Linked DNA regions of Canis lupus familiaris. The protein of the gene in region 1 purifies or fractionates together with the protein of each later gene. This does not show direct contact. Links are inferred from orthologs where the notes say so. Each region holds a gene or a part of one and is shown on either strand. Other genes may lie near its edges.

Evidence for each region. The genes of interacting proteins can lie anywhere in the genome.
Region 2: the proteins of PRKAG3 (region 1) and PIP4P2 purify together in Homo sapiens (affinity purification with mass spectrometry; 3 studies listed by BioGRID and IntAct, with this or other methods). This does not show direct contact. The link is inferred for Canis lupus familiaris from reciprocal best matches to the Homo sapiens genes PRKAG3 and PIP4P2.
Region 3: the proteins of PRKAG3 (region 1) and PFDN6 purify together in Homo sapiens (affinity purification with mass spectrometry; 3 studies listed by BioGRID and IntAct, with this or other methods). This does not show direct contact. The link is inferred for Canis lupus familiaris from reciprocal best matches to the Homo sapiens genes PRKAG3 and PFDN6.

The regions. Positions count from the first base shown.
Region 1 is NC_049258.1:25,287,696-25,291,441, reverse strand, and holds the start of PRKAG3 (5'-AMP-activated protein kinase subunit gamma-3), read left to right. Parts: upstream 1-871; 5' UTR 872-898; coding exon 899-1,001; coding exon of another isoform or gene 1,002-1,012; intron 1,013-1,196; exon of another isoform or gene 1,197-1,279; coding exon 1,280-1,407; intron 1,408-1,527; exon of another isoform or gene 1,528-1,618; coding exon of another isoform or gene 1,619-1,639; intron 1,640-2,021; coding exon 2,022-2,061; intron 2,062-2,548; exon of another isoform or gene 2,549-2,567; coding exon 2,568-2,723; intron 2,724-3,070; coding exon 3,071-3,474; intron 3,475-3,746. UniProt on the Homo sapiens protein: AMP/ATP-binding subunit of AMP-activated protein kinase (AMPK), an energy sensor protein kinase that plays a key role in regulating cellular energy metabolism.
Region 2 is NC_049250.1:37,070,932-37,074,618, reverse strand, and holds the start of PIP4P2 (type 2 phosphatidylinositol 4,5-bisphosphate 4-phosphatase), read left to right. Parts: upstream 1-840; 5' UTR 841-891; coding exon 892-997; intron 998-3,687. UniProt on the Homo sapiens protein: Catalyzes the hydrolysis of phosphatidylinositol-4,5-bisphosphate (PtdIns-4,5-P2) to phosphatidylinositol-4-phosphate (PtdIns-4-P).
Region 3 is NC_049233.1:2,883,244-2,886,246, forward strand, and holds PFDN6 (prefoldin subunit 6), read left to right. Parts: upstream 1-1,159; 5' UTR 1,160-1,201; intron 1,202-1,346; 5' UTR 1,347-1,430; coding exon 1,431-1,494; intron 1,495-1,744; coding exon 1,745-1,815; intron 1,816-1,894; coding exon 1,895-2,019; intron 2,020-2,225; coding exon 2,226-2,355; 3' UTR 2,356-2,456; downstream 2,457-3,003. Other genes in the region: WDR46 (WD repeat-containing protein 46), read right to left, coding at 1-43, 188-268, 377-589, 691-759. UniProt on the Homo sapiens protein: Binds specifically to cytosolic chaperonin (c-CPN) and transfers target proteins to it. Binds to nascent polypeptide chain and promotes folding in an environment in which there are many competing pathways for nonnative proteins.

The sequences.
Region 1 (3,746 bases):
CAATGCTTTTTAAGGTCTTATGGCAAACAAACGGCAGAACATGAATTTTAATCAGGTCCATCTGACCGTCAAACAGGGTTTCTGTCACATCCAGCCAACACACTTTGGTCATCAAGGTGGCCACTGTTTCCTTGGAGATAGAGGACGTTCACATGTGCATAGTCATCTAAATGCCAACTCTATGTACCTTGAGCCTGCACTAGAAGGAGACTAGTGCAGTGGAAGTGATGCTATTGGGGAAGGCTTTCTTAGAGAAGAACCCCTCCCACTGGCCCTGGAGGTGGAACAGGCCCCAGGGCGAAGATGGAGAAGGCAATAGTGTCAACTGTTCTCTATCTGGCTCGGTTGTGAAGGTGGGCCCAGAGCTTAAGGTGCGTAGAGGCTTTCTAGGTCCATCGCATAGCAGATGGGCCTGTCCAAGGATGATCCACTTGACGCTTCCACCAGCCAAGGTGTCCCATCGGCTGTGCCTTGGACATTCCACCATCTGGGACGAGACGGGAGCAGGCCACAGGAATCCTGCAGGAGAGCTGCACCCACCCCCGGTGCTACTCAAGACACACACGGGGAAGGGCCAAGTCCCTGATCTGTTCTCCTCCTCCTCCCTGTAGGCAGTACAGGGGCCTTGCGAGGTGATTAGAAATATGTTCCGTACATTCAGCAAGAAATCCAGTAATTCATTACCGAGTGTCCACTCCAGGGTCAGAGACTGGGATGGGAGAGGCTGGAAGGAGGAAGGGGGGGGCAGAGAGAGGGGAGCTAGAGCAGCTGGGTCAGCATTCCCGATTTGGATACTGACTCAGGCCCCAGGAATGCCAAGGAAGGGGGGTGGGCAGCCACCAGAGCTGGGCTGGGATCCTGTTGGCACCAGGATATGTAGGAACAGCACGCAGAGAGGATGTTGGGACCGGGGCTCCCACACCCTGGGACCCACCTCCAGATCACTGGTAGAAACAGATGGCTCTCATCCTGGGCCCTCAAGCCCACCACACACCTTCATGGTGAGTTCATGGTGAGTCTCCTAGCTCCCCACCTTCCTAACTCATCCCACCCCAACTTCCAGCAGAGGAAGGGATGGGCTCCTGGGATTCGAATGGGGACATCTGGACACACAGTGGCCGTTTTTCTGGGACCACCCACAAACCCCTCAGCCTCTAGCCTCCCAGCTGGCTCCCACTTGCCCCCTCTGACTCCAGCACCACCTACGACTGAAGTTTGTACAAGGAAGAAAGTTGAGCTCAACTCGCCTCCATTTCCCCTCCTTTGGCACCTGATAAAGATGAGCAGGAGCCCAGGACTCTGAAAGCCCACCTCCCACCGGTGCCCCTACAGTGCTCCAAGCCACCTCCCCCATGGCAAAGCCCTTCAAGCTCGTCCTTGAAGACCCAGGAGGGAGCCCAAGGCCAGGTCTCAAGATTCCAGGCGCCCCCCTTCCCTCCCCACCCTGCCCCAGGCTCTGGGTGGGAGCAGCTGAGCCTGCAGAGCCCTCCCTCCCGCTGCCTGACACCCAATCAGAGAGAAACCGATCCGGGGAGGGCAGGGTGCCAAGGGCCGGGCCCAGAATAGTGCCACCCGGCCAGTGTTGCGCACTTGCTCTCCGTTGGTCCGGGTTGGCCGCATGGAGCACACACTGCGCCGGGTATAGGGGTCCCCGGGGACGGGAGCTGGGGCAGCCGAGGCCAGGGGATTGCGAGCACAGCACACTGTGTGAATGTGTGTGAGTGTGTGTGTGTGCATGTGCGGCCTGGATCTTCTGTGTGTGTGTGTGTGTGTGTGTGTGTGTGTGAGCATGTGGGTGTCTGTGTGTACGTGTATTCTTCGTGTAAGCAACCTATGTGGTCCTGTGTGTGTCTGGGAATGGTTGGATGTGTGTTTTCCTGAGTGTATAAGTGTTTGTGTAAGGGGGGGTGCTTGCGGGGGTGGGTGCATGCACACGCAGGCCTGCCGGGGAGAGGACCTACCTGTGGTTCGGGAAGGTAGGGCACTTCCCCCACCCCTCCAGACCATTCTCCTCCCCACAGAACCCATCCTGGAGCAGCCTAGGGGGACCCGAGCATCAAGGTAAGTGCAGCTGCTTCCTCCTCAGGGGAAGGAAGTGCCTCTTCTCCCACTTCCTTTGTCCCCCCTCTTTGGGACCGTCATCTCCTTGGCTCTGATAGCCCATCTTTTGTCTCTCTCTCCCTCCTTTTCCTTTTTTTGCTCCTGTGTCTTTTCCTTTTCCCTTCATCACTCTTTTCTATCAGAAGAAGTTGCGGGGGTGCGGGGAGGAGGGGGAGGCGGGGAGGGGAGGGATATAGAGTCTGAAGACTCTGACCCTGGTTCTGACTTTATCACTTACTCACTGTGTGAATTGTGGCAAACCGCTTAACATCTCTGATCTCAGGTCTCTTTTTCATAAAATAAGAATGATGATAATGTCTCCCTTATAAGATTGCTAGGAGTGAGAAATATGGAGGAGAAAAACTCTTGGGAAGCTTGCAAATATTAAATGTTATTATTAATGACATTTTCATTGATTTCGTTGTGTTACTCCCTATTAACCAAACAGGCCCCATTCCCCCTTCCAGAGATGAGCTTCCTAGAACAAGGAGAGAGCACTTCATGGCCATCACCAGCCATGACCACTGGCTCAGAAAGAAGCCATGGGAAACAGGGGGCCAAGTCCTCGAGATGGACGAGGCAGGAGGTGGTGAAGGAAGGGGAGCTGCAGGGTCTGGAGGAAGGTGAGGCCAAGGCCAGTTCCGGAGAGTTGGGAGCGGGGGCAGTGGGACATCCCAGAGCCTGGGACCCAGGGCTCTGCTCTGATCCCTTCATAGAGATGGACCCAAGCCTCATCTTGTAGCCCCAGTCTGTCCATATGGGAAACGTCAACTGCACGGCAGAGCCAGAGGCCTGGCATGGCCAACTCAGGACAGAGCCACTATCTTGTGTGGCTCTGAGACTCAGCGTTCTCACCTGCAAAATGGGGCCATAGCATCCAGGCTTCCCAAGCCTGCTGTGAGGATGACCCGAGCCAGCAGATGAGAAAGCACTCTGGAAGATGGACTTATTGTCCTCTCCCCTCCAACAGATCCCCAGGCCAGGCCGCCTGCTGAGTGCACCGGGCTGGAGGCCACATTCCCCAAGGCCACACACTTGTTGCAAGCTGCCCCCCTGGCCAGGGTGGGCACCCCACCGACAGAGTGGGACATCTCCCCCCTGAACCATGCAGCCTCAGCCGTAGGCTCCAGTCCAGATGATCTGGAGCTGGATATAGAGTTCCCAGTCACAGCAGACTGGGGGTACGAGCTCGGCCTGGTGGAAGAGAGGCCTACCCTGTGCCCCTCCCCGCGGGCCCTGTTACCCAGGCCGGGCTGGGACGACGAGCTGCAGAAGCCGGGGGCCCAAGTCTACATGCACTTCATGCAGGAGCACACCTGCTACGATGCCATGGCAACCAGCTCCAAGCTGGTCATCTTCGACATCACGCTGGAGGTGAGGCCATGGTGCTGCCCCACCTCCATCCTCACGGGGCTGCAGCCACCACTCACACCCTCCAGGACACCCCGCTGGGCACCCTGCAAGTCCCCTTCCAGAACTCCTTCCTAGCACCATGGAGACCAGTGCTGGGGAGGGCTTCTCTCCCTGTCATCCTAGCTCTGCCATTTAGTATCTATAGGATCTTGGGTTAGTCACTATACCTCTCTCATCTCTAAAATAAGGATGGGGGTGCGCCTGGCTAGTTTAGTTGGAAGGGCATGCAACTC
Region 2 (3,687 bases), on another chromosome or scaffold:
CCAGCCTCCCCGCGGCCCAGCCTCCTGCTCCCTCCGGCCCCGCCTCCTCCCCGCCCTCCCCGCTGCCCAGCCTCCTCCTCCTCCTCCCCGGCCCAGCCCCCTCCACGCCCTCCCCGCGGCCCAGCCTCCTGCTCCCTCCGGCCCCGCCTCCTCCCCGCCCTCCCCGCTGCCCAGCCTCCTCCTCCTCCTCCCCGGCCCCGCCCCCTCCACGCCCTCCCCGCGGCCCAGCCTCCTCCTCCTCCTCCTCCTCCCGGCCCAGCCCCCTCCACGCCCTCCCCGCGGCCCAGCCTCCTCCTCCTCCTCCTCCTCCTCCCGCGGCCCAGCCTCCTTCTCCGCCTCCTCCCCGCCCCCTCCCGCTCCTCCCCCCGCGGCCCCGCCTCCCGCTCCTCCTCCTCCCCCGCCTCCTCCCCCCTCCTCCCCGCCCCCTCCCGCTCCTCCCCCCGCGGCCCCGCCTCCCGCTCCTCCTCCTCCCCCGCCTCCTCCCCCTCCTCCCCGCCCCCCTCCCGCTCCTCCCCCCGCGGCCCAGCCTCCCGCTCCTCCTCCTCCCCCGCCTCCTCCCCCTCCTCCCCCCCCCCCCCCCGCTCCTCCCCCCGCGGCCCAGCCTCCCCGCGGCCCCGCCTCCCGCTCCTCCTCCTCCCCCGCCTCCTCCCCCTCCTCCCCGCCCCCCTCCCGCTCCTCCCCCCGCGGCCCAGCCTCCCCGCGGCCCCGCCTCCTGCTCCTCCTCCTCCCCCGCCTCCTCCCCCTCCTCCCCGCCCCCCTCCCGCTCCTCCCCCCGCGGCCCCGCCTCCCGCTCCTCCTCCTCCCCCGCCTCCTCCCCCTCCTCCCCGCCCCCCTCCCGCTCCTCCCCCCGCGGCCCAGCCTCCCCGCGGCCCCGCCGCCGCTGCGGCAGTCATGGCTGCGGACGGGGTGGACGAGCGCTCGCCTCTGCTGTCAGCATCGCCGCCGGGAACCGTCACCCCCACGGCCCCGCCGTACTTGCAGGAGAGCAGCCCCAGAGGTGAGGCGGGCGCGGGCCTCCCGCTCGCTGCGCCGCGGCCGAGGAGGCAGGCCCCGGGGCGCTGCAGCTGGGGCGCGGCGGGCGGGTCGGCGGGCCCGGGAGCGGGGGCTGCAGACTGCGCCTGGCGCGGGCCCGGGTCCTTGAGCGCAGCCCCCAGGAGGGAGGGCGGGGTGCGGGCGCGTGCCCCGCGCCCTTCTCACGGCGGCTGTGCGTGTGCGTGTGCGTGTGCGTGTGCGAGTGCGAGTGCGAGTGCGTGTTTCAGCACTTCTTGCCCGCGGGCCGGGCGTGACAGGAATCGCCCCGGCGCAGCCCCCAGGCGCCGCTGGAGGAGGTGCACAGCCTTCGCGGCCATTCAGCCTTCCCTGCTGAGAAGCCCCTAGCACTGCTCACCTTGGGATCTGCCCTTGAAAGGGCTTAGCTTGAAAAATGTGCAGAGCGTGCCCTCGCCCCCCCCCCCCCCCCGGGCTCTGTTCAGTCAGGGAATTGTCTTACCAAGAGGAATAGCGGTAATCGATATTCCTAATATGCCTGAAATTCCTGCCTTTCCTTATTACTCCCCTTTGTAAGGAGTGTGCGTTAGCCTTGCTGGCCGATGAGGAAGCATAGGAAGGAAGATGGGATATTTCTGATGCATCTGGGTGAGGTTGAAATGAACTTACTTCTGAAAGTAACCCCGGCTAACCCTGCACGCATTTCTATTTATTTCACTTCTCAAGATGGAATCAAAAAAGATTTGATTAGCAGTGGGATCTGAAGAAAGAAGTGTATACGTGTGTGTGAGTGTGTGTGTGTGTGGGGGGGGGGTGTTTAGCAAACTATTAAAAGATCTATCTTTGTTCTAAGCCTTTTAGTGGCTTTCTATAGTAGAAAGAAGGTGGAGTCACGATTTATTGAAAAGGGAAGGCAAGACTTGAAAACCACTTAGAGTTATGAAAAGAATGGCCAAATATGGCACTTGCAAATGTAGCTTAAGTGCATCTCTCCCTTTCCAGCCGAATATGAGAGGAGTTTCAGAAATCCCAAGGAGACAAAATGTTAGTGCTTTCGAAAACGTAGGCAGATCATGTTTCTTGTAACACAACTTCTTGTAAGTTCAAGTCTGGAATTGGAGCAGTTGTAGAGCAAGTTGGACTTGTTTAGTATTTAAAATTTCCACTTAATGGTAACATTGTCCCCAACTTGAAGAGGAACAATCTAGGTCTTAGTCAACACCTTACAAGAAGCAGGACAAAGGAAAAAGATGTTTTGCTGTGAATAATGGAGTGTGATCAATCAGTTGAGAAATAAGGTGCAAAATGGGACAGAGACTTATCTACAGGAAAAACCCCAAGTCATGTTTGTATTAAAGGTGTATCAGAGGACACCAGCTGGAGGAATTTCCTTTAATGCACAAATTTGATATTAATAAAAAATCAAAATCGGGTCGGTCTAGGATAAGTTTAAACATTTATAAATGAATGTTGCAACTTCCCCAAGTGACCCTTTAGGGCAAAATATTTGCAGTTTATTAAAAGACAAGGTTTGGATTTAAACAACTGTCCTATGACAGATTTTCATGTCCTCTGTCTTACATCTTTGTTTTTGTATTTTTAGTCATAGTGGCTAAATTATTCCACAAATGTGTTCATGCTCATGGACCTGCTTATAGATTTCTTTATCATTTGCCACATATTTGTCTAATCTGGTAAGACCAGATTAACTGCACAATCAGGTACAAATCACAGTTCAGCCACTGAAGAAATTCAAAATATTAAAACGCAAAATGCCATGGGGTAAATGTTAAAGATCTTACTGGCTTTATTTAATGATTCGTGATTCTAGCAGCATCCCATCTAGCAGATAGAAAGGAGTTTCAAAAAGCTGTACCAAATGAAAGCCTTCCATGGGCAGAAGGGAGTGGGAAAAAGGCAAAAAGTGGATGGGTTGTGGCAAGATCACTTTCATTTAGGGGATGGGGGTGGTCTGTCAGGCAGATGACCTCACTAGTGCTAATAAGGTAGTTCTTGACGGACGTTCCAAGATTCCATTTCTGGGTGAGGCCAAAAGTGTAATTAAGGCTGTATTTGGTGATGTGGAGCTTAGCATAAGTGACTCCATTTTGAGCCTGTTGTCTTGTTTTTAACAACTGATTTAGCAAAAAGCCATTTCGGCCTTATGATAGAGTACAGTTGTGTTTTTTTTCCTTAAACTGGTAAATAAGACAGGTTAGCTAATTAGAAATGCTAATTTCATGTGGCATAGTACCTAGGAAGCAAGAAGCATAAATTAGAAGTAAAGACATTTTATGTTATTGGCATTTATGTCAGAATATCTTTTCTTAAATAACAAATAAGCATCTTCATAAATGTTTTGAGTGATACACAGATCTGATTCTAGGAGACCTGTGGTATTTACTCTTTCATTGATTCATTGGGCAGTATGGTGTGCCAGAGTCGGCTCTAGGTCAACAAAACTGACCAAACATGCCCCCTCTTGAAACCCACATCGAAATGAAAAAAAAGAATAAACACGGGGCTGAATTATTTGTATTGTAAGAAACTGTTCCTAGACCAGATGTTTTCAGTAGTTGACAGGAATTAAAGGTTGGGATTCAAAAGACTGGAATAGAATGTACTTTTTGATAATGAACTTTGGTTTATGATACCATTTGTAATCACCCAGAATTTTTTTTTTTAAGTAGTTAAGAGCCA
Region 3 (3,003 bases), on another chromosome or scaffold:
CCACCTCTAGTCGGCTTCGTGTTTTCGACTTCGAATGTGGCAGCTATACCAGCGTTGGCAGGAGAGTAATGAAAAAAGAACCAGGTGTTATGTGGGGTGCCAGGAGAGTCACACAGTTCCTCTTCATCCAACTCACTCATATGCTCTCCCAAGCTGCAATCCCTCCTCACTCCCAGCTGGTCCTCACCTTTTTGGATTTGTCAATGCGACGGAACTTGCGAGCCACTTCCTCAGGGATGGGAGCAGGGCCTGGAAATGGATCCTGGGCCTGGGGAAGGAGGAAGCAATTAGCAGACAGGTTAGGGTTGACCCCAACCATCGCACCTGCAAAGTACAAGGCAACTTGCCCCACCACCTTATCAGGTCCCAGGCTCACCCCGGACAAATTTCTCTGAGGCTCAAGATTTCTCTGTTCTCGAGGTTTCTTCGGGAACTGAGGCTTCCCGGGGATCCGAGACTTTTTTGGGAGGTTAATGTTCTTTGGCCTCTGGGGGCGGAGCTCTCGATTCCTTTTCTTGTTACGAGGGGGCCCTGGAGAGGCTCCGGCAGCGGTCAGAGTGGCTTCCTTCTCCCAGTACCTCCGCGGTTTCTACGGGCAGATCACAAGCTCTAACACTCCATAGCCCTCGCCCCCCCACCCCCGGGACCCCGCAGCTAAAAATTTCCCTTCCACCCTAGCGAGGTCTCTACCTTCTTCTTGGTCTGAAGTCTGGCCTTCTTGGGCTGGACATCTCTGCCGGGTTTGGAGGCTGTTTCCATCTAGCCCACCGGAACGACGACCCACGTGCAAACTTCTCTCAGCTGTCCACAGACGGCTCGGAAACTCCCGGAAGCCCGCCGGCCCTCGTCCAATCAGTGCCTACCAGGTCTGAAGCCGTCTGAGCGCCATCTTGAATGAGGGCCCACTCTCTCTCGAGGGGCGGGGCAGGTCTTGGCTCCGCAATCCCGAGCAGCCGCTTATGCCCGAGTAATGAAAGAAAGGTAGTCTGGGGCTGGGGACAAAGTAACGGTGCAGTTTTTTTTTCCAGCTCCGTTTCCCTGTCTTGCCTAAAACCTCCCGGGTCCAGTTTTCTGGGGGAACACCGTTCACTAAACGTGCCAAAACTACAGTTCCCGGCATGCGTCAGAAGACAGCTTCCGGCGCCTTCTTTTCCCAGCATTCTTTGTTTACTTCCAGGTTTAGTAATAGTGAAGCGAGAACGTGAGTATGGCTGGGTTACGGTTGAGGGGCTTGGGGTCTTGCTGCGCCCGCCACCTCCTGGGGCCTGCGTGGAGGGCTCTCTGGGACGAGGAGAGGCTGTGGTGCCCTGGGAGGCTGCCTCGCAAGAGTGCTGTCCTTTCCGCAGGCCGGGCCAGAAAGGGGAGTTTAGGTACCTCCCAGAGTGAGACCCAGCGCCCGCTCCCACTCCCCGCGGGCCTTCGTCCCCGCCATGGCTGAGCTAATCCAGAAGAAGCTACAGGGAGAAGTGGAGAAATATCAGCAGCTACAGAAGGGTAAGGGAGCAGCGTCGGCGCGGCCTCGCCCCAGACCCTTCACTTACAGCCCAAAGCCAAACCAAGATAATATGTTGTGCCCCACTAGAGGCCCCGCGTGCAGCTCCTTCCCCATCTCGGAGCTCGTCCCCACCCACTGACCTGTTGCCGCCTCCTTGTCTACTTCCTCAGCTCCGTTTTCTTCTCACCAGGATTGGGGTTAGGCGGCACATGTGATGTGTTTAATCAACCCTTTCTTCCTAACCCCCAGACTTGAGTAAATCCATGTCGGGGAGACAGAAGCTTGAGGCGCAGCTAACAGAAAATAATATCGTGAAGGAGGTGAGAGAGGGATATGCCGGGCCAGAAGGGACCTGACCTGGAAGTGATTCTGATCTTGTATGTCCCATCCCTCCATCAGGAGCTGGCCCTGCTAGATGGATCCAACGTGGTCTTTAAACTTCTGGGTCCTGTGCTGGTCAAACAGGAGCTGGGAGAGGCTCGTGCCACAGTGGGGAAGAGGCTGGACTATATCACAGCTGAAATGTGAGTCTTTGTTCTGACACCCTGCAAGGCACCGGACGCCCCCAGCGTAGAATGTCGAGGAGCCGTTGGAGTAGTTCCAGGGTAGCCCTGTCTGATCTGCTTCCTCAAACCCTCCACGGGGAGTCCAGGAGAGTCCAACCCTTCAGCACCCTCAAGAGTAAATCCCATCAATTTCTCATTTGCTTGTCTCTCTTGCCTCTCTTCAGTAAGCGATACGAATCCCAGCTCCGGGACCTTGAGCGGCAGTCAGAGCAACAGAGGGAGACCCTGGCTCAGCTGCAGCAGGAGTTCCAGAGGGCCCAGGCAGCCAAGGCAGGGGCTTCTGGGAAGGCCTGACCCCATGGGGGGGGGAGGGAATGAGGCAGCTCAAGGGTCTATGCTGTAGCTAATAAAATGTGAAAACCCCTGGCTGTTTTCTGACCAGCCACTTCCTGTCATGATGGTCTCTTCCTTGGGCCCCTTCAACTTTATATATATGCCACCTGCATTACTCTGTTCGGTCCCAATTCTCGTGACTGGAATTGCCACAGAGTAATCCTCCTTTTTTCACTGAGACTAAAATCTGAAACGTCTCACACCTACTTGCCTATATACACTACGCTTGCCTTGGTTGGCATGCCCCTTAGGAAACATGAGAAGAGCATTTACCACGCAATGATCATTGGGAAGGCCAGTTTAACTACAGAGCTCACGGTAATCTAAACTGAGACCCCAGGGTGAAATGTGGTGACCCTCTTGCTATGCTTTCTTGTCATCCTCCAGAAAGCCCCAGCATCTTAGTCTCATTCTAGAATTTGTTTGAATGAAGTTTAGGCTGATTTAAAATCCCAGCATGGAACACTTTGTGATGTTGTAAGGCCCTCAAGTTTATACGTTATCCACAAAGTCATTCTTCCATTTCTTTGTCCTAAAATTGTTTCTTACAAATGTCCAACCACGGATTGTTCTTTAATCTGCTCACTTTAATTGGTGACTGGTACTTGC